3 linked regions of the Lonchura striata genome follow. The protein of the gene in region 1 interacts with the protein of each later gene in a pairwise test. Links are inferred from orthologs where the notes say so. Each region holds a gene or a part of one and is shown on either strand. Other genes may lie near its edges.

The links. The genes of interacting proteins can lie anywhere in the genome.
Region 2: the proteins of zinc finger and BTB domain-containing protein 8A (region 1) and RAD23A interact in binary tests that used the Homo sapiens proteins (3 or more experiments, as listed by UniProt). The two-hybrid records come from large-scale screens. The link is inferred for Lonchura striata from reciprocal best matches to the Homo sapiens genes ZBTB8A and RAD23A.
Region 3: the proteins of zinc finger and BTB domain-containing protein 8A (region 1) and AP1M1 interact in binary tests that used the Homo sapiens proteins (3 or more experiments, as listed by UniProt). The two-hybrid records come from large-scale screens. The link is inferred for Lonchura striata from reciprocal best matches to the Homo sapiens genes ZBTB8A and AP1M1.

What each region holds. Positions count from the first base shown.
Region 1 is NC_134628.1:951,515-959,239, forward strand, and holds the start of zinc finger and BTB domain-containing protein 8A, read right to left. Parts: upstream 3,008-7,725; 5' UTR 2,779-3,007; coding exon 1,548-2,778; intron 994-1,547; coding exon 824-993; intron 157-823; coding exon 1-156. UniProt on the Homo sapiens protein: May be involved in transcriptional regulation.
Region 2 is NC_134623.1:1,284,017-1,291,096, reverse strand, and holds the start of RAD23A (UV excision repair protein RAD23 homolog A), read right to left. Parts: upstream 3,017-7,080; 5' UTR 2,970-3,016; coding exon 2,838-2,969; intron 443-2,837; coding exon 281-442; intron 1-280. Other genes in the region: CALR (calreticulin), read right to left, coding at 3,527-3,706, 3,913-4,005, 4,085-4,228, 4,318-4,431, 4,646-4,855, 4,959-5,053, 5,533-5,736, 5,826-5,927 and 1 more. UniProt on the Homo sapiens protein: Multiubiquitin chain receptor involved in modulation of proteasomal degradation. Binds to 'Lys-48'-linked polyubiquitin chains in a length-dependent manner and with a lower affinity to 'Lys-63'-linked polyubiquitin chains.
Region 3 is NC_134630.1:4,653,039-4,659,885, forward strand, and holds the start of AP1M1 (AP-1 complex subunit mu-1), read right to left. Parts: upstream 3,017-6,847; 5' UTR 2,979-3,016; coding exon 2,937-2,978; intron 1,796-2,936; coding exon 1,639-1,795; intron 1,261-1,638; coding exon 1,193-1,260; intron 693-1,192; coding exon 562-692; intron 424-561; coding exon 276-423; intron 1-275. Other genes in the region: protein FAM32A, read right to left, coding at 4,004-4,072, 4,228-4,281, 4,375-4,513, 4,637-4,713. UniProt on the Homo sapiens protein: Subunit of clathrin-associated adaptor protein complex 1 that plays a role in protein sorting in the trans-Golgi network (TGN) and endosomes.

The DNA of each region.
Region 1 (7,725 bases):
CGCCTCCAAGTCAATGCGGATGCTGTCGATGCCCGCCTCGGCCAGGCACTCGTTGCACAGTCTGTAGCGCCGCGTGCCCTCCTGCACCACCTGGCCCGTCAGCTCGGTGACGTGGCGCTTGCACTTCCTGCAGATGGGCTTGCACGCCTGGTGGATCTGGGGAAATCGAGAAGGGATGGATTTGTAAAACACCAATGGGTTTTTTGGGAGATGGCAAAAATCAAATCGCAGCGTTGCTGTCGCTATAGGACACGTGAAAGCACGACGCGAGCCACCTGCTATTTCCAAGGTAAAGAAGAAAGTTTATTCTCTGACTCCGACTTTTATACTTTCCCAAAGGTGACATTGGGTTGGAGAGTGAATGGGCCACCTCTCCAAACACATTGGACAAACCACTAGTACATCAAGTTTCTCCACCCTCATAAAAGAATGTAAACAATATGTTGTTTACAGAAATTGTGTGGGAAAGTTCTCCAACAGAATGTAAATTCAGAAGGCTTTAGAAAATCCTAAGAATCAGGGTGACATGTTGCCTTAATTTCAGAGACATCAAACGCTGAACTGCACCAGCCCCAGCACAGTAATTGCCCACTGGAGCTCTCACAGGCTGCAGAGAGCAGAACCTCTGCAAGCCATCAATTACCCAACAAATTCCTCCTCTTTCCTGCAAATTATCCTTCAATTCGACTGCAGCCAAACCAAATTAATGTTCCATTCCCCTCTTCTTTACAGGAGTCATTAGATCAACCAGATACACTCACACTGTGTTTAATTAGCCAGATTTACATGTTAAATAAATCATGCAGTTGCTAAAAATACTCACAGTTCGAAAATGGCTGCTGAGGTGATCCAGCCTGCTGAATCTCTTGCCACACGCCTCGCAGGGGTACGGCCGCTCTCCCGTGTGACAGCGAAGGTGACGCTTGAGGTCGGCTTTTCTCTTCACCACGTGGCTGCAGAATGGACACTTGAACCTCATCCTGGACAGGTCATCTGTCAGAAAATAATGGGATTTAAAAAAAAAAGTCAAAATCGTGTCATGTAATGCTCTAGGAAAAAGTGTTTTATGAGGAGAATAGCAGGTCATTTATTAAAATATCCACGGGTTGTTTCAAACACAAAGGATTTGTGTTTGTCTGTAGATTACACAGGAGTGGAACAAAGGAGGAGTGGGCCATTGGCTGTATTAACACAGACCTGGTAAAGCCAGCCTGGACAGAGCCTGGAGCAACCAGGGATAGTGGGAGGTGTCCCTGCCCATGGCAGGGAGTGGAGCAAGATGAGCTTTAAGGTCCTTTCCAACCCAAAGTATTCTGTGATTTTATGAAAATGAACTTAAAAATATCCCAACTTATACTTATTTTTAAATTCAATACCCCAGGTACTTCAAGAACTCAGAATGATTTCAAGGAAATGAGTTCAAACTTTCTAAGCATACACTTCTGGACAATACAGCTGTCTTTTTGACAGTTGTGCTTTACTATTGAGTAAGACCTATTTTCTCAGAGGCAGAAGAGAGGATTCACAGGTGTCTAAACCCCACTCACCTTCAGCCCAGTTCCCCATGACTCCCAGGATGGAGGGCATGCTCCCGTACTGCTCCTCAGCTTTGGAGGATTTGGATTTGCTGGAGGAGCGGGGTGACTCGTGCTCCTGCTGCGACACAGCCAAGCCCCTGGGCATCACCTCAGCCCCTTGGCCAAACTGGTAGCCCACGTGAGGAGCTTCCACCTCCGTGTCGATGTGGACCTGCTCCTCGGGCGGCGCGGCGTGGCCGGCGGGCTCGGCAGCCCTGTCCTCCAGCTTGCTGGATTTATAGTGGGGGATGTCTGAAGGCTGCTGCAGCCCCAGGTGCCGGGATTTCTTGATGGAATCCTGCCGCTGCTCGTGTTTAGACAGCTGCTGCTGGGCATTTCTTTGAGAGCTGGGGTAATAGTTGAAATTGCTCCAAGTGTTGCCGCCCATCATACAAGTCCCAGGGTCTGGGCTGGAGTGGGAATGCGGGGGGCTGCTCTCTGCCCTCCACCCTCCGCTGTACACGCAGGATCGGTCCACGCCGTTGGAGCTGACATCTTTGTCTGACAGGCTGAAGTAGCGATCCTTCTCCTTCTCACTGATGTCCAGCGACGACTTGATGAAGGTTTTACACACGCTGATCACATCGGTCATCTGCAGATAGCTGGCAGCCGACATGACTTCGATCACATTCTGACCAGTGAGAGACAGTTTGCCTGAATACACAAAATCCAGGATAACTGTGAAGGTGTCAGGAGAAAAGGCCTGGAAAGTGGCTGTCGTGGACTGACTCGTCTCCTTCGAGCTCTGCGAAAGGAGCATTTTGAAGTAGCCGCTGCTGGCAAACAGCACATTGCGATGGGCTTTGAAGACTTTGCCCTCCACCAGGATGTTGCAGTCACAGAACAAGTCCTGCCTGCGCTGCTCATTTAGTTGCTGCAAGAGGTGAAACTGGTGAGAAGAAATCTCCATCCCAGAAAAGGTGAAATGAAACGTTCCTCTAAAAAAAATGAAGAAAATTATTTCACTCTCGACTTCAGTGCTGTGTAACTCAGCCAAACATGTCAGACCCAATTTTACAGCTATCTTTACAAACAATAGCATTTCTGTAAATCTACAAATATATTTAAACCACGATATGCTCAACCATAGATTCATTTCCCAACAGAACAAGAGGGATGGCGAAGCCAAGACCGCGTTATTTGGCACGGACGGCTGTGCTAGAGCCGGCAGCAAATCCATTCCCGGGATGCGGGGCAGCATGCGGGGCTGGACTCGTGCCGCCCGCTGGAGCTGCGCAGCCTTCAGGCAGCTCCGGGAAGACGAGGAGCCAAGAGCAGCTGCGGCTGCGACCGCGGCCGTGCCTCGAACCCGCGATTCCGTCTCGAACCCGCGATTCCGCCTCGAACCCGCGATTCCGCCTCGAACCCGCGATTCCGCCTCTCCCCGCTCCGCCCGGGCCCCGCTTCGGGCGGAAGGCACGGCGGCAGCGCCCCGGCCTCCCCGGCATTGGCCGCGGCCGCCGTCACTCACCCGCCCGGCCGGTCCCCGGCAGCCCGGGACGCCCGACGGCGCCGGAGCCGCCCGGCCCCGCTCCCACCGCGGGACCGCCGCGCCCGCCTGCCCCGGCCGGCTGCGCGCTCCCCTCCGCCCGCACGGAGCGCCCCGGCCCGGCCGTGCCGCCCGCGGGAACGGAGCCGCGGCTGCCGCTCCGCCAGAGCCCCCCGTGTCCCCGCCCGGTGCCCGGTGCCCGGTGCCCAGCGCCCGGTGCCGCTCCCGTCCCGCCGCCCGCAGCCGCTTCCGCCGGCAGCGCCTCCGCCGCCCGCCCCGCGCAGCCCCTTTGTGTCCGCGCCCGGGGCTGCAAATGGCGCCCGCCGGGGACGCGGCAGCGCCGGCACCGGGCGGCACCGAGCGGTTCCCGGCGGCTCCGGGCGGCACCGAGCGGCTCCGAGCGGTTCCCGGCGGCTCCGGGCGGCCCGAAGCGCCCGCGGCCGCTGCGGAGCCCCGCGCCCTCCTCGCAGCCGGGCTGGCTGCGGGGCCCGTTCCGCCCCAATCCCAGCGCCCTGCCCGGCCTACCGGCGTGCGGGAGCCGCCACTCACCGGCGGGGTGCTGCGGGCGGCTGCCGCCGAGCCGGGGGGAGCGGGCGGTGGCTGCGGGATCCCCGGCTCCGCCTCGGGGCTCGCCGTGCCTGCAGGCGACGCGCCGCTGCTCCCGCAGCCCCGAGCCCTGCGAGCCCGAACGGGAGAGAAACAAAAGGTATTTGCTGACGTGGGCGTTGGACAGAGACGCCCGAGGGCTGGGGACACAATTAAAGGGGCAACGCACCGATTGCAGCCGCAGCCCAGCGCCTGCCGCGGCCCCCGCGCCCCGCGGCCGCCGCCGCTCGCCGCTTCCCACACCCACATGCTGCCCGGGAGGGGATGGGATGCCCTAGATGCCTCCTTTTCACACCTTTATCTATAGCAGGGCCCTCGATGACCCAAATCCTTCTCCTTTCTCTTGCGGCGTCCTCCAAAGGAGATGTGACATCTTCTTGTCTCTGTTGGTGTCTGTTATCTTCTGAAGAAAGCATGGCTGAAAGCGAGACCTGAACCTCTCACCTTCTCTCCCTCGAAGTTTAGTGTCTTTCCCCTTCCTCTTCTTACCACCAGGGTCTTTTCTGTGTTTTGGACGCCCTAGTTACTTTTCATAAATATTTATTTTCCCCATGGAAACCGTTCTTCCCTAACCGAGCCCTTGGTGGCATTTTTGGCCTTCTCTTCTCTAACTTCAGACATTCCACCTTGAAACAATTTCTCTTTCTTTGCCCATTGTAGCAAAATTGGCTAAAGAATTTATCTAAAGATAACAACCCAAAGATTATTTCCTTTGATCATTAGAGCCATTCTCCCACTACATCATATACATTGTCATCTCTAATTTCTACATTCATATTTTGTAGATATATATGTATATGTTACAATATTATTTTCCATCTTAATTCCTCCTTTTTCATAAACTCTCTTTGTTTTGTAGATTCTCCTTTCAAACCCAGGCCGTGCTCTTAAAATCTTCATGAGACCCATTCTGCTTCTGTGAGATTCTGCTCTAAATCAACCATTCTTGAACATGAAACAACTGGAATTCAAACCAGCTTCTCACAGCTCTTACCACTGAGAAATAAAGAATGCAATCAACTAAACCATCAGATTATTTAATATATAAACCAGAACATTTATTTCTAGTATCAGGTTTTAATACCATTGAAATGAATTCCTTTAAAGTTTATTTTTGCCTGTCAAGCCAAGTAAGTAGCACCTCTTTTTATTTAATGTGGAATCACAGAATCCCAGGATGGTTTGGGCTGGAAAGGATCTTAAAGATCATGGGCAGGGACACCATGTTTCTCAATATTCTATAAATGTTTTTCCACACTTCTGCCCAAATTATTCCATCAGCTGAAAGCTTCCTTTGGAAAAGAATTATCTGGAGGTATTTGTTCTGTTTGACTTGCCTGGGTGGTGCTTTCACTCCTCTGTCAGTGGGGTTTTATATCAATGTCAACAGGAGCTCGAGGGTTCTCCTTCTGCCAGGAACAGGCAAGAGAATTTAAAAAATATGGGGGGAAATGTCAATGTTATCTGGAGTGGCTTAATTAGAATTTTTAAAGATGCTACGAGTGCTTTCCTCAGAGCACCTCCTGCTCACTGCTGTGCTGTGGATCCAGGAACAGCCACAGAACAAACTTTGGTTTCCTCATCCACGGGGCTGATTTCATCTTGTTGTGCACAATAATGCATCCCAAACAATCCCAGACATCAGAGAGGTTTTTTAGGTTTTGTTTCTAACTTTTAGAACCGATTTCAGCTGAGAAAGTTCCACTTGAGATGCTGATTTCATCTTGCTGTGCACAATAATGCATCCCAAACAATCCCAGACATCAGAGAGGTTTTTTAGGTTTTATTTCTAAATTTTAGAGCAAATTTCAGCTGAGAAAGTTCCACTTGAGATGCTGTTTGGAGAGTTTATCCAGAGGGAATGTGCTTGGCAGCAGTGTGAAGGAGCTGCTCCTCACAGCCAGAATGTAGAGTCTGCTCTTCAGAGAACAATCACACTAAAAAAAATTAATATTTTTCTTGCTCACAGAAAAATTAATGTACATTTCTCCTTGGGTTTGGTAACCAAATAGGATTAACTGTAATAATATATAATGGTATAGTGTAATGTATTATAATAGTTTAATTAACTGTGGCACCAATTTAAAGATTGCAGTTCTCTTCAAAATAAACATTCCTCAGGAATCACAGCCTTCAGTTATGGTGCATCTTACAACTTGAATTATCCAGGGATATTTTTTACCAAGGAAAACTCAAGAGCTTATACTAGAACAACTTAAGGAACTGTTCAAAGCCTAGAAATTAATCAGGCATGGGATTACAACTTTCATGTGATCACTGCCACCTTAGATTGGGGTTGTCTTCATTTGCATCATCATTCCTCTCCTCACCTTTCCCAAGGACCAAACCAGGAGTGTTGAATCACCCGGGGTTTGAGTTCCACCTTTGTGCTCAAGCTCAAATCCAAATCTCAAATACAAATACAAATCTTGAGTACAAATCTGAGCCTAGAAGCACAAATCCAAATCTCAAATCCAAATCTCAAATCCAAATCTCGAGTACAAATCCAAATCTTGAGTAGAAATCCAAATCTCGAGTACAAATCTGAGCCTAGAAGCACAAATCCAAATCCCAAATCCAAATCTCGAGTAGAAATCTGAATCTCGAGTAGAAATCCAAATGTAGAAGCACAAATCCAAATCCAGAAGCACAAATCCAAATCTCCAAGCACAAATCCCAATCTAGAAGCACAAGTCCAAATCTCGAGTACAAATCCAAATTTCAAGTACAAGTCCAAATCTCAAATACAAATCCAATCTAGAAGCACAAATCGAAATCTCGAGTATAAAACCAAATCTCCAGTACAAATCCATGGAGCCTCCAGGGCACCAGGAGATTTTTCCTTTTTCCAAATGAGCAGGAAATTGGAATGTCCTGTCCTAAACCCAGGGAGGAATCTTCCCTTCTTCCCTCTGGCAGCAAGGCCAGTTTAGGGAAAGCCTGATCCTAATCCTGATCCAGCAGGACAATTAAAACCCTCCTTAAACTCTTTATTTTCAGCTGTTTCTCAGAACACCCAACTGTCCCACATTTGCATCCAGCTCATGTTGATGACTTAGGGCTGGATCCAAACAATTCTCCTCCCCAAATCATTCCCAAGCTTTTTGACACCCTCAGCTGCCCTGCTCTCCTCCTCCTTCCCCCACAAAGAATCCTTTTCACCAAGGGTGGAGATAACCACCCTCATCCCCTCTGAGTTCTTCAGCATCTCAATCTTTCATGAGAAAAAAAATTAAAAAAAAAAACAAAAAAAAGGGAAATTTGTCTACTTGCAGCAAGATTTTTTTGTCAAATATTGGATATAACACAAAATTTTCTGGAAAGGATATTTGGGATGTTGTCCTCCTCACATGTATTTCCTCCTAGCTGGGATCAGTGTCTGCTTCCTAGCAAGAAAAATGAGAAGTTTTAAAAGGAGTTTAAAAAGTTGAATTAACATAAAACTACAAGACTGTTAAAAAAAAGCCAGTATTAATAATATAAAATATTTTCTAAAAGTCTCACTTGGCTGGGGTTTACGTGAACAGAATCCTTTTAGTCTTTTCCTTCCAAAAACCTGATTTTTCTTGCAAACTAGCTGTCCCCAAAAATGGATATATTAATTTTTAAGCCAAATTAATGGAATGGAAATAATTATTTAATTTTAATGCCAGAAATTGAAACGTGAGCCTTCAATCTAGACACTCTCAGGTTTACTCAGTCAACATGGGAACAGTAAAAAAAAATCAAAGCAACCCTCTCAGAGAGTTTTATTTTCTAGACAATCAAAAAACTCCAGAATGTTCCAAGATCCACAAATATAGTTCAGTCACTTCCACAAATAAGGTTCGGTTTATAAGAATTTGTCATTGTTACTGGACCAAAGGACTTCAGTTATGAAACTGTCTTACAAAACATCAGGGAATTCAACGACCACATTTGGAAGATTTACAAGGGCTTCGCACCAAGAGGTTAAATGCACTACAAACACCAGTGCAGCATGTATTCCTTCAGTGAAATACAGTGCATTTCTGTGCAAAAATACATTAAAATGTGTATTCCTAAACAAAGTCA
Region 2 (7,080 bases), on another chromosome or scaffold:
CAGGTCCCACACAGGGACCCCAAATCCCTCCCAGGGACCCCCAAATCCCTCCCAAGGACCCCTCAGGCTTCCCCCAAACAGCCCCCAGACCCCTCAGACCCTACACAGGGACCCCCAAATGGCTCCGGGTCCCCCCAAACGGCCCCCAGACTCAGACCCCACACAGGGACCCCCAAATCCCTCCCCAGGACCCCTCAGGCCCCACACAGGGACCCCCAAATGGTTCCGGGTCCCCCCAAACGGCCCCCAGACCCCTCAGGCCCCACCCAGGGCCCCCCACCTTGGTGACCATGACCACCACGAAGTTCTTCTCGTCGATGCGGTACTCGCGGATGGGGACGTCGTCGCTCAGGATCTTGCCGGCGTAGATGAGCTTCTGCCCGGCCACGGGGAACGCCTCGCTGCCCTTCTCGGCCTCGATCTTCTCCTTCAGCGCCCGCACCTGCGCCCCAAAAAATGGCACCCAAAACAGCTCCAGAAACAGCACCCCGAAACTGCTCCTGAAACGGCTCCCAAAACGGTACCATGAAACAGCTCCCCAAAATCTGCTCCTGAAACAGCTCCCAAAACGGTACCATGAAACAGCTCCCCAAAAACTGCTCCCGAAACGGCTCCCAAAACGGTACCATGAAACAGCTCCCCAAAATCTGCTCCCGAAAACGGCTCCCAAAATGGTACCAGGAAACAGCTCCCCAAAATCTGCTCCCGAAAACGGCTCCCAAAATGGTACCATGAAACAGCTCCCCAAAAACTGCTCCCGAAACGGCTCCCAAAACGGTACCATGAAACAGCTCCCCAAAATCTGCTCCCGAAAACGGCTCCCAAAATGGTACCAGGAAACAGCTCCCCAAAAACTGCTCCCGAAAACAGCTCCCAAAACGGTACCATGAAACAGCTCCCCAAAAACTGCTCTCGAAAACGGCTCCCCAAACGGTACCATGAAACAGCTCCCCAAAAACTGCTCCCGAAACAGCTCCCAAAACGGTACCATGAGACAGCTCCCCAAAATCTGCTCCCGAAACGGCTCCCAAAAATGGCATCCTGAAATGGTACCACGAAATGGCACCCCAAAAGTGCACCCTGAAGTGGCTCCCGAAACTGCACCCCGAAACGACATCCCAGGGGCTCCCAGAGCACCCCAAAACTGCACCCCGGGGGCTCAGGGCACCCTGAAACAGCTCCCCAAAACTGCACCCCGAAACTGCACCCTGAAATGGCACCTCGAAACTGCACCCCAGGGCCTCAGGGCTCCCCGAAACTGCACCCCGAAACTGCATCCCAAAACGGCTCCCAAAAACGGCACCCCGAAATGGCTCCCAAAATGGTACCACGAAACAACTCCCAAAAACAGCACCCCAAAACGGCTCCCAAAAACAGCACCCAAAACGGTACCACAAAACAGGTCCCAAAAACTTCACCCTGAAACAGATCCCAAAAACGGCTCCCAAAACGGTACCCTGAAACGGTCCCACAAAACGGCTCCCAAAAACTTCACCCCAAAACTGCATCCCAAAATGGCTCCCAAAAACGGCACCCTGAAACTGCACCCCGAAACGGCTCCCAAAAACAGCATCCCGAAACAGCACCCTGAAACTGCTCCCAAAAATAGCTCCCAAAAACGGCACCCTGAAACTGCTTCCAAAAACTGCACCCCAAAACAGCTCCCAAAAACGGCACCCCGAAATGGTACCACGAAACGGCTCCCAAACACTGCACCCCAAAAGGGCTCCCAAAACTGCACCCCAAAACTGCACTCCGGAGACTCAGGGCACCCTGAAACTGCTCCCAAGAACTGTACCCCAAAACGGCTCCCAAAACTGCATCCCGAAACGGTTCCCAGAACTGCACCCCAAAACAGCTCCCGAAACGGCTCCCAAAAACTGCTCCCCAAGAGGGCTCTCAAAACTGCACCCCAAAACTGCACCTCGGGGCCCCCCACAGGCTCAGGGCACCCCATAACCGCCCCCCAGGGGCTCAGGGCACCCCAAAACTGCACCCCAAAACTGCTCCCCAGGGGCTCAGGGCACCCCAAAAGGCTCCCCAAAACTGCACCCTGAAACAGCACCCCGGGGGCTCAGGGCACCCCAAAACTGCCCCCCCCAAGCCCCAAATATTGTGGAAGAAACGCCCCGAAAAAAATTGCCCTTCCCACGGGGGTCTAAGCTCCCCCAAAGTGGGGGGGTCTGGGGGCGAATAATAGCAGGGAGCCCCCCAAAAATAGGGGACACAGAGGCCCCCCCCCAGGGATGAGAACTGGGGGCACACGGAGCCCCCTCCCCAAAATGAGAACTAGAGGGACACGGAGCCCCCTCCCCAAAATGGGGATTGGGGGAACACGGAGCCCCCGCCCCAAAAAGAGAATTGAGAGAACATGGAGCCCCCTCCCCAAAATGAGAACTAGAGGGATACGGAGCCCCCTCCCCAAATGGGGATTGGAGGGACACGGAGCCCCCTCCCCAAAATGAGAGTTGGGGGCACACGGAGCCCCCTCCCCAAAATGAGAATTGAGGGAACACGAAGCCCCCTCCCCAAATTGGGGACTGGGGGCACATGGAGCTCCCCGGGTGCCGCCCCTCGCTCTCCTCACATCGGGGACACGCAGACCCCTCCCCAAAAAAGAGCCGAGACCCCCCCCCAGAACCGGGGGCGCACGGAGCCGCCCCTGCCGGTGCCATCCGCACCCGAACGGGCGGGGGGCACACGGGGCCGCCCCTCGGTGTCCCCCCGCACCTCAAGGAAGCCCCGGGAGGCTCCGGCCCCGCGGCGTGAGGGCTCGGGGGGGGATGTGGGGGGGGGCGGGCTCCGTGCCCATCCCCGGCCCCCGGGCGCGTCCTCACCGTCTCGTGCGGCTCCATGCGGATCTTGAAGGTTTGCTGCTGCAGCGTCTTGAGCGTGACGGTGACGGCCATGGCGGGACGGGCGCGGGGCGGCGGCGGCGGCTCCTCCCGGCGGCCCCACGACAACAACATGCAACTCACGCCGCCGCCATCTTAGAGGCGGCCCCGCCGCTTCCGCCGCGGCGCCGGAAGTGCGTCACGGCGCGCCCGCGCGCGCGCCACGCTCCCGCGGGGAAAAAAAAACGGGGCGGGGGCAATGGAGTTTCCGCTGTCACGTGACGCGGGAAAAACCCGCGCGGGTCTCGTTCCCGCCCCCGATCACGTGACGCGGCGCCGGCACAAAATGGCGGCGGCCACAACATGGCGCGGGCGGGGAACAAGGAGGAAACAACGAGGAGCGAAACGGCGGCGGGACCGTCGTTAATTTAATAGAAACCGGATCACGACACCCCCCGTACAGTCCCGTGCGACACCGCCGGTGCTTTCCCCACCCCTCCCACCCCTCTCCGATCCCTCCCCACCCCCGGCGCTGGTCCTGAGTCCTCGCCCCGCAGGGCGCCCGGTGCCGGTTCGGTGCCGGTTCGGTGCCGGCCGTGCCGGTTCGGTGCCGGCCGTGCCGGTTCGGTGCCGGCGCCCATAGAAAAGAGTCCAGGTCTCACAGAGACAGAACGGGGCCCGCCGCGGGGCCCTCACAGCTCGTCCCGCGGGGCCGCCTCCGCCTCCTCGGGCTCGGCCTCGGGCTCGTCCTCATCCTCCTCCTCCTCGTCGCCCTCATCATCCCCTTCCTCTTCCTTCTGCTGCTTCTCCTCCTCCTCCTGCTTCTTCCGCTGCTCCTCGTCCTGCTGCTCCTTCATCTTCCTCTCTGCGTCCTGCGGGAGGCGGCGGGGAGGTCACGGGGGTCGTGGGGGGCTCGTCCTCCCCGTACCTTGATGGCCCCCCAGGTCTCATTGGTGGCCCCCAGGACTCATCCCCTCGGTACCTTGGTGGCCCCCCAGGTCTCGTTGGTGGCCCCCTAGGTGTCATTGTCCCTCCCGCACCTTGGTGACCCCCCCAGGTCTCATTGTCCCCCCCTTACCTTGGTGGCCCCCCAGGTCTCGTTCCCGATCTCCTCCGCCAGTTTCTCGTCGTCCGTGATCAGGAAGTTGTCGAAGATGGTGCCTGACTTCACCTGTGGGCACGGGGCAGTCAGGGGGGGTCCTGCAGCTCCTGGGGACCCCCCGAGACCCCTCCTGGGGACCCCCCCTCACCTGCCAGAGGTCGAGGCCGATGACCCCGAAGCTGTCGTAGGAGTAGAGCAGGGGGTCGGGGCTGTACTCGGGGTTGTCGATCTCAGGGTGCACCCACTTGCCCTTGTAGTCGGGGTTGTCGATCTGCTGCGGCCTCCACTCGCCCTGGTGGGGGGCACAAGTTGGGGCTCAGAGGGGGCTCAGCCCCTCCCCCAGCAGCCCCCCAACACCGCAGCAGCCCCCCCAGGCCTCACCTTGTACTCGGGGTTCTGGATCACGGGGGGCTCCCACTCCCCGTCCATCTCCTCGTCCCAATCCTCCGGTTTCTTGGCGTCGGGGTCCGGGATGTGCTCGGGTTTGTCCCAGTCCTGCAAGGGGGGTGGGTTGGGGGGCTCAGGGGGCTGCTGTGGCTCCCCAGGACCACCCTCGCCTCCCCACCTCTCACCCAGTCCCCCCCATTCTCCCCCTAATCCTTCCAGGACCTTTTCACAACACCCCCCCAAATCTCCTGGAGACCCCCCAGGTTCCTCCCTAAAACCCCTCCAATCCCCCCCCAAAAGCCCCTCCAAGCCCCCTCCCCACCTCAGGTTTGGTGTCCTCGGGGTCATCGATCTTGGCCCGCTCATCCCAGTCCTCAGGTTTCTTGGCCTCGGGGTCTTTGATCTTTTTGGGGGGCAGGAAATCCCAATCCTCCTCCAGGCTCCCCGACTCCACGCGGGCGTTGTCGATCTTCACCTCGTAGGTGTTGTCCGGCCGCACCACCAGCGTGTACAGGTGGGTGAATTCGTCGTCCTGGGGGGCACAGGGGGGGCTCAGCAGGGCTGCAGACCCCCCCCCCGACCCTACACAGCAGGGGACAGCAGGACCCCCCACCCCCAAAAGCCCCCAGACCCACCTTGCAGCGAATGTCCTTATTGATCAGCACGTTCTTCCCTTTGTAGTTAAAAATCACGTGCACCTTCTTGGTGCCGGGGCCGCAGATGTCGGGGCCTGGCGAAACATGGAGAAAAATTAAATTTCACCATTTTAACAAAGATTTGTAGGCAAAAGTATATTTATTTACAGTGCTGTGGATGCATGTGGGGACTCATCACTTTTCAATGGACATGTGAACCCGTGGAACTCCTGATCCTTTTTTATAACCCTGACTAATTTCTACAAGCATAAAATTTAGTAATAGGCTCATACATATTTATTTTGCTGATTTCACGTTACGCTAAATATATTTCTATTTTATTACATTTTTTACTCTGTCTCACTGGGGCTGGGGGGGACACAGGGTCACGGAAAGGGGCTGAGGGGCAAAGGGGGGGCAATGGGGTCAGAGAAAGGGGCTGAGACCACCCTGGGGGGCTGGGGGGACATGGTGCTAGGGAAAAGACCACCCCAAGGGGGCTGGGGGGCGAGGGGGAGACTCAGGGTCAGGGAAAGGGGCTGAGACCACCCTGGGGGGCTTGGGGGACACCCACCAAACATGATGTTGTACTCGGAGTCGCCGTGCATGTCCTCCTGGCTGAGGCTGGCCGGGAAGAGCTTGACGTAGCCGCCGCCACAGTCGATGTTCTGCTCATGCTTGACAGTGAACTGCACCACCAGCGTCTTGTCGCGGTTGCTGAAGGGCTCGAAGCGCGACGACAGCGCGTAGAACCGGGCGTCCTGGCTCGTTTGGATCCCTGCGGGACGTGGGGCGTGGTTGGGGAAGGGGGAGAAAACCCCAGCCTCGAGGTCTTTCCCCCTCCGCCTGCCGTGCTCCCCGGCTCACCTTTGTCCTTCTCGGCGTCGCCGTAGAACTTGCCGGCGGTGAGGACGAAGCGGCCGTAGTCGGGTTTGTGCTTGGATTCCACCCACCGGCGGGTCCAGGCGTCTGTGAGGGGGCAGGATCAGCACCCCCAAAGCCCTCCTGCCCGCCCAGCTCAGGGCTTGGGGCAGGGTCTCTTTGCTGGATGGTTTTAGGCTCGCAGAGGAAAGCTGAGTCCCCCCACCCGCCAGGAACCCTCTCCATGTGGCTGCTGCGTTCCTCACGAGCCTTTTTCCTGCTCTTTTCTCTCTTGTCCACCTGCTCTGCTGAGGCTGAGCCCCCTCAGCCTGTCCCTCCAGTGACCCTTGCTGGCTCAGGGATTCCTCAGCAGCTTCGTCCTGCCTGCCCTGACTCCCACTCGCTGCCCACACCTGAGGAGTGGCTCCTGCACGCCCTGTCACCTCAGGGAGCAGCACGTTCCACATTCTCTGCCCTCACACAACACCCGAGGATCCCCTCCTCGTTTCCCTCAGAGACCACAGCAGAGTGCCCCCATTCTGTTCTGTTCCCCTCACAGAACACAGATCAGTCCCCCCCATTATTTCTTTAAAGAACACAGCGGGATCACTCCATTTTCCCCTCTCAGAACACGGTGAGGGGGGGGGCGGTCACTGAATTCTCTCCCTTCACAAAACACAACAGGCTCCCTCCTTTCTCGCCTTACAAGTCACACGGGGTGCTCCCATTCCCTCCCCTCACAGACCACAAGAGGATCCCCTAATTCTCCCTTCAGAAAAGACGGGAAGGTCTCTCCATTCTCTCCCCTCACAAGACACAAGAGGGCCCTCCCAGCCTCCTGCCTCCCCCTCAGACTCCCCTCAGACTCCCCAGGCACCGCCCCCCCTCAACCCCTTCACCTCAAAAGCCCCCCCCCCTCAGGCCCCGCCCTCAGCGACCCCCTCCCGGCCCCTCCCTCACCTCCATCCCCGAACTCCTCGCGGAAGAACTGGGTGGGGCCGGCGGCCGCCAGGAGGGCTCCGAACAGGACGGGGCCGAGGACGCCGAGGGGGCTCATGGCTGGCGGGGGAGGGGGTTTAGGAACACTCGCTCCGTCCGTCCCGGCCCGGCGCCGCCCGGCACTGCGGAGGGGGGAGGAGGTGCCGCCGCCTTTTATACTCCCGCCGCCCCTCGCCCTGCCTCCGCCGCCCTGCCATTGGCCCGAGGCCGCGCGCGGCCCTCTCCCATTGGCCGCCCGCCCGCCCGCCGCCGGCGACGGCGC
Region 3 (6,847 bases), on another chromosome or scaffold:
TTAATCCAGTATAGAGGATCAAAGGACATATCCAAAAATCAGCAATACACACAATTAAAGCATTATTTGTACTGGATTTCCTTAATGATTATGTTACTTAATTATTATTACATTACTTAATTAATGATTACATGGGAACTTAATGATAACATTGCTTTGAGTGTCACAGAACACATCCACAATCAGACTTTTTGTTGCAGGTTCGCATACAAAAAGCCCTTTTTAACACTTTTTACTACAATTCTTACATAAAAGTTGAAGTCCAAGGTACCCACCAAAAGGTTAACAGACTCTATGACATCCAGGAACACCTCGTTTTTCCTGTATTTTATCCCTTCTGATCTCCATGAAACAGCATTTGTAACAGTGGCAGGCGGGCGTGGGGCTCCAGTTTCAAGTTTGTGGCCTTCCTGAGTGATGTACCTTCACAACCAGAAAATTGGCACAGAAAAAAAATAAAATTAATACTTTTGATAATTAGAACACACCCAAACATTTGTTTGCCTATGGAAAAAGGCTCAAAACATTCCAAGGGCTTTGTCACTGTTGAGTGATACTTACTCTTGTAAAATTTTACTATCAGTGGTTTGTGGATAACCAAAATCCATAAGCTCATCTAACAACTCATAAATAATAACAAAATTATCCCTAATGCTCTCTTCTTCCAACTCCTTGAAATATTCAGAAAAAACCTGAAATGCAACAAGAGGAGGGGGAGGGAGAAGAAGGACATTAACTGAGGCAGCACAGCACACACAGAAGGTATTCCTGCATCTAAAATAATAATCCTGTAAAGTTCCAACCCCAACCCCATACTTCCCAAACAGCATTCTGCTCAGATCAGCCCCAGGAAACCCACCACAATTAAAACAGATACAGAGAATCATAGAAGAAACTATTATGAAAAAATATCTTTCTGGATATGAAGCAAGCACAGGATCTGTATGAGGCATGACAACACATGCACCAGTTCACAATCTCCTCCAGGTGCTCAGGTCTTGTGTAACTACTTAGAGCACTCTGCCCACACAGCTACAAAATATCAGTGCCCTTATTAGTGGTTAAGAAGATAGTTCAACAAAATAATCAAATATAAAGTAAAAACACTATTGTTGAAGTTCTTAAAAAATGTGAAAGCTCTATGCCCTTCTATTTAGACAGAACATAAAGGTTACTTCTGAAATATACTCACCTGAACTACTTTATATAAAAATGAAAACACCAGTGATACACAAGCATTTTTCTTAGAAGTTGCAACAACTGATAAAGGATGTTCAGGAATATGCATTAAAAAAAAAAACACTTACTAAATGCAGTTTAAAAAGCCTAATTTAAGGCACTTAGAGTTGCCTGGAAGAATTATGCATTAACTACTTAACAGCACTAATGATCTAAAGAGATATGAAGATAACATTCAGGAAGACATTAATTAGAGTAAAATTAGAACACTTTTCTGGACTTTATGCTGCTGGTATATATGACACTATGTAAAGCACAAAAAACCCCTTATTTAATATGACCAACTTTATTGAATATAGCCACTTTATACCACTTCACCCATACTTCAACTTGCATTCTGACATTAAAACCACAGCAGCAACCCTTGGCAGGTCAGCACATCTGCAGCACAAAGGATACGATACAGGTTGTTATGTTTAATCCACATGAAACGAACTCCTCCATGTGCTAAGATAGGAGAAAGCGTCCCCTCTTCTTCCTTTTCCATAAGGATTGGCATAAAATGTTCCACCTCTGACATGTCCACATCTCCACGGTAATTCCGACAGATCAGAACCTGTAAGCAACCAAATCCTTCTTTCTTCTCTTTCACAAGGACGTTACCATGCAAGCCACACAAATGCTGGATAAACCCCTCTAAAATCATCCAGCTTCCCTCAAGCCTCTCTGCATTTGTAAGTGCAAATCACAATGCTGAAACACTTTGCAAACACCAACATGTAATTGCAAAATCTATTAATATTTTCCAGACCTCTATTACTGCTCAGGCTCTAAGAATGGTTTTAGGATAGGAAAATGCACAATTCTTCTGAGCAAAGCAGCTAGGATACCGGCAGATGACAAGAAAAGGGTTTTAAAATCATGGGGATTTAGGGTTAAAAGGAAAATTAAGCTTAGTAGGCCCTGAAAAAATTAAATACCCTAGGTACATGAAGACTTGTACCTTGCTAGAACTGCACCTGTGTACCTAGTACATGATAAATGATATAATTGTTAGATGTGATGATTGCTTAGTAATTAATTACTGTTTAATTGTAAGAATAATCATGAGAAACTGTGGTCAGGGGGCCTAAGGAAGATCACGAGAAACTCTTGTCAATGTATACAATAGAACAATATAAATTTAATAAGTTCCCATCCCCATTGTCAGTTTTCCATTCCCAGTTTTCCATCCCCATTCTCATGCCCACTCCCAGATTTCCATTCCTAATTTTCCATTCCCAGTTTCCCACTCCCAGTTTCAGTTTTCCATTCCAAATTTCCAATCCCCATTCCCATCCCCAGTTTTTATGTAAGTTATATAACGATAATAATATAAAATACGTTCAGCTCGAAAGCCATGTCGGAGTCAATTTGGGTCTGTACCCCTGATTCCCAAAGCTCTCAATAAAAGCACCTGCACATAATCATATCCCGCGATGATGTGTGCTCCTGAACGCTAACACAGAGATTAATCACCCCGGGGATGCCGCCTCACCCAACATCTCTACCGGCGAGGGGCTGCCCACAACTCCCTGTCCCCGTTTACCGGCGAGGGGCTGCCCACAACTCCCTGTCCCCGTTTACCGGCGAGGGGCTGCAGGCCACAACTCCCCCGTCCCCGCTGGGCTAAGCGGGGGCCGGCAGCCCGGGGAGCGGAACGCGGCCCCGCAGCCGTCCCAAGGCAGCGGAACCCGCAGCTCCGCGCCGGGCCTCACCTTCCCCTTCAGGTCCAGCACATAGACGGCGCTGGCCGACATCGCCCCGGCCGGGCCCGTCCCGCCCGCCGCTGCCGCTTCCGCTTCCGCAGGAAGTGACGCCGGCGCGGCGGAAGGACACCGCGGCAGCGCCGTTAAATAGTCCCGGCGCGCCGGTCCGCGGGCTGAGCTGGGCACGGACACACGGAGAGCGTAATTCGGGTTAAGAACATCCCGGTTTGGGAGTTCCGACATCGTGATACATCCCTCAGAGGGGGTAACAATCAAACTCCACACGCCCCATTTCATTCCATCCCAAAAAAGGGGTGGAAGCAGCGTTTTAATAAATTACATCGAATTTACAACTTGCAGCAGACCCCTCTGGAAGACAGAAATGATACTGTTGATACTCAAGATAGAAATGATAACTGTTTGCCACAATTACACACTCGAGAGACACGCTGATTATTTATTTCAGAGCTGCACAAGCCTCGATGCTCGGTGGGATCCCAGAAATCCAGCTATCAAAACTTGGACATCACTCAGAGCTTGTTGGCTGCTCTCTATTTTATGGATTAAACCTCCCTTCTTGCTGGTTAGGCTTGAAAGTATACAAAGATCAAATACCAAAGAATATCCTTTCCTAAAACAATTTTACATATTTCATGTTTTGCAACATGGCCTCTGACAGAACTTGATAGAAAGTAATTATACAATTCACATAACTTACAAGAGAAACTTAATGAGACTGTCAGACTCCACTTGAAAAAAGGAGTACTGTTAGAACTAACAAAATAAAAGGAATGTTTTCCATCTGGCTCACAGCAATTCGTTCTGGCCTTAATCTCACTATAAACACTAAAAAAAAACAGCCCTCTCCATCGATGTAAACCAGAGCTCCTCAGCCCACAGGAGACATTGCTGGATGATTGGTTTTAAATAACAAGTCTATAAAATAAGACAGTATGAAGTCATAAAAGCTCAGAAGATGTATTAGACAATATAGAGAAAAGACAGATTTACATGGCAACCCTGCTTGATACAAACAAAACACAACTCCAGCTCCAGAGCCGTGAAAAGCAGCCCGGTCATTTAGTCCAGCTGACTTTGGGAATGTCGTAATGCTCAGTCAGAGTATCCAAGTGCCTGTTGAAGTCCTGGGGGAGGCAAAGAGAAAGAAAACAGGGTGCTGACATCACCAAGTTGAACCACAAGCCCCCCCTGCGTCCCGGCTTGTGTTTCACAAGGCGGAACAGTTCCTTCAGCCCAACAAAACACGCTGGCCTGATGGACTCGGGATGGTTTTGCTCACCTCCACTCGCTGCTTGTGGGTTTTCGACGCTTTCTTCAGGATCCGTTCCATTTGCTGTAGGAGACACATTAAGGCCGGTTACTCCCGGCACTCGCAGCCCCCTCAGCGGCCGCACCCCAGGGGTGACAGCGGCTTTTAAACCCTTACCCGCTTCTCCTGCATCTTCTCGTAGGCCACCTGCGCCGGGGTCCGCTTGTCCAGCCCGCGCTTCTTCTCCTCCTCCTGCTTCTTGCTGCTCACGATCTGCTCCAGCATCTGGGCCTTGTCTTTCGCCTTCTTCTTCTTCCTGCGGGAAGCGCCCGGTCAGAGCTCAGCCCCGGCGCTGTGTGTCCCCTCCTCGCTCACGGTTCTCCCGACCCCTCCTCACCGCTCCCCGTTCTCCCCCGGTTCCCCCCGGCTCCCCCCTCACCGCTTGCCGGCCCCCAGGGCCCCGCCGCTGCCCTTCAGCCGCAGCGGACCGCGCTGCACTGCCTCGTAGTCCGCCATGGCGGAACGGCCGCGCCCGCGCCCCCTGCCGGCACCGCCGCAACGGCACGGCCGGCGCCGGGAGCCGCGCGCGAGCCCCGCCCGGCTTCTCCGTGAGGGGACCGGGAACGAGCCCGCCCGGCTTCTCCGTGAGGGAAACCGGGAACGAGCCCGCCCGGCTTCTCCGTGAGGGGGACCGGGAACGAGCCCGCCCGGCTTCTCCGTGAGGGGAACCGGGAACGAGCCCGCCCGCCTTCTCCGTGAGGGGAATCGGGAACGAGCCCCGCCCGGCTTCTCCGTGAGGGAACCGGCCCGTCCGTGAGGGGAACCGAAGCGGCCATGAGGTGCCTTGCACCTCCGTGAGGGGACCGGCCTCTCAGTGAGGGGAACCGGGACGGCCATAAAGCCGCCTTGCATCTTCGTGAGGGGACCGGCCTCTCCGTGAGGGGAGCCGGGAACGAGCCCGCCCGGCTTCTCCGTGAGGGGAACCGGGACTGCCATGAGCTGCCTTGCATCTTCGTGAGGGGGACCGGGGACGACCCCTGCACGGTTTCTCCGTGAGGGGAACCGGGACTGCCATGAGCTGCCTTAGCACCTCCGTGAGGGGAACCGGTAACGAGCCCCGCCCGCCCCTCCGTGAGGGGAACCGAAGCGGACATTGAGCCGCCTTAGTACCTCCGTGAGGGGAGCGGGCAGTGAGCCCAGTCCGGGGGTATCTCTGTGAGGGGAACCGAAGCAGGACTTGCAAAATATGGAATATATCAAGATTATTTAAAAATAGAATTTTTTTTTGATGTAAACTCTTTCTATACTTTCAAACCTATTCAGCAAGAAAGGAGATGTAATGAATGGGAAGACAGCAGCTAGCAGCCCTTAGTCAACAACATATGGGAATTAACAAGCTTTAGGGATGTAGTAAATCAAAATGTTGATGTATGTGTGTGTATACATTGATAATTTGGCAAAGGATTCAAGGTCTGTATATCCTACAGCTGAACTAGCTGAACTATCTTCATTATAATACTTAAGATCATGCCTAAGGGTCAAAAAGACCTTGCCCAGGTGCAGACCCTTCCCCATTGCATGTGGAGAAGTTAGCTGGGGATTGTCTAACTTGTATGGAAATTACTAAATAATCTTAATAGAGAGGCTGACCTTGGAAAAAGACGATGAACTTCTGTAAATAATGGCGTGGAAAGTCCAGTGGGGTGTGTTGGATTTGTGGAAACCCACCAAGCATCCAGGCTTGTGCAAATAATATCTCTCTCAACTGTGTAATTATTGGCTTGTTGCACATCACATAATAAATCTGATTTTGAGGACAACAGGATGGAATTGCCTTGAGGAGAACACCTGGAGATCTAGGCTACACCAGGAGGGACCAGCCCCATCCCTCCCCACACTTCTTGTTGCACTCTGAACAGAACCATTCCAGATCGTTTTTGCTATGGGAAGATACCCTGAGGAGCAAGCCTGCCCCAGGAAGAGATCTTCCACCAGTCAGAGGGAACCAGTGACCCAGAAATAGAAACTTTACAGCTCCATGAAAAAGCAGCCTGTTCCAGTTCCTCCTTTTTTCCCCTTGTTTTTCATCTTTCATAGCATCACATTTCTGTTCACAGGTATGAACTATACACTCACACATCTTTTCAGTGCAAAGGCCGTGTATGAATCAGTATGGATGGATGTCATGCTAATCACCATTAATTAGTAGTAAGATACGTCAGCAGATGATGCAGAAGGAAGGGAGTGAGCGGAATTTATGGTTACTACCTCCAGTACAAGCTACCACCAGCATTAGTGTATTTTAACAATGTGCATTAAAGGAAAATACTGGCACAGGCTGCCCAGGACAGTGGTGAAGTCACCATCCCTGGAAGTGTTCAAAAAAACATGTGGATGTGGCACCTGAGGACATGGAATATTGGTGATCTTGGCAGTGCTGCATTAATGATCTAAAAGGGCTTTTCCAAGGGCTTTTATAATTCTGACCCTATAAAATATGAGAAGGAAAGGAGGAGGGGCTACCAAATTTCCATCATTTGGTGTTAAATTTTAAAGGAGGAAAATGCTGCTAACACTTTTCAGTTTATTCACCATATCTGAAGGCATGAAAAAGCAGGGTCCACTGGGTCTTCTTGCAACTGAAGGGCAC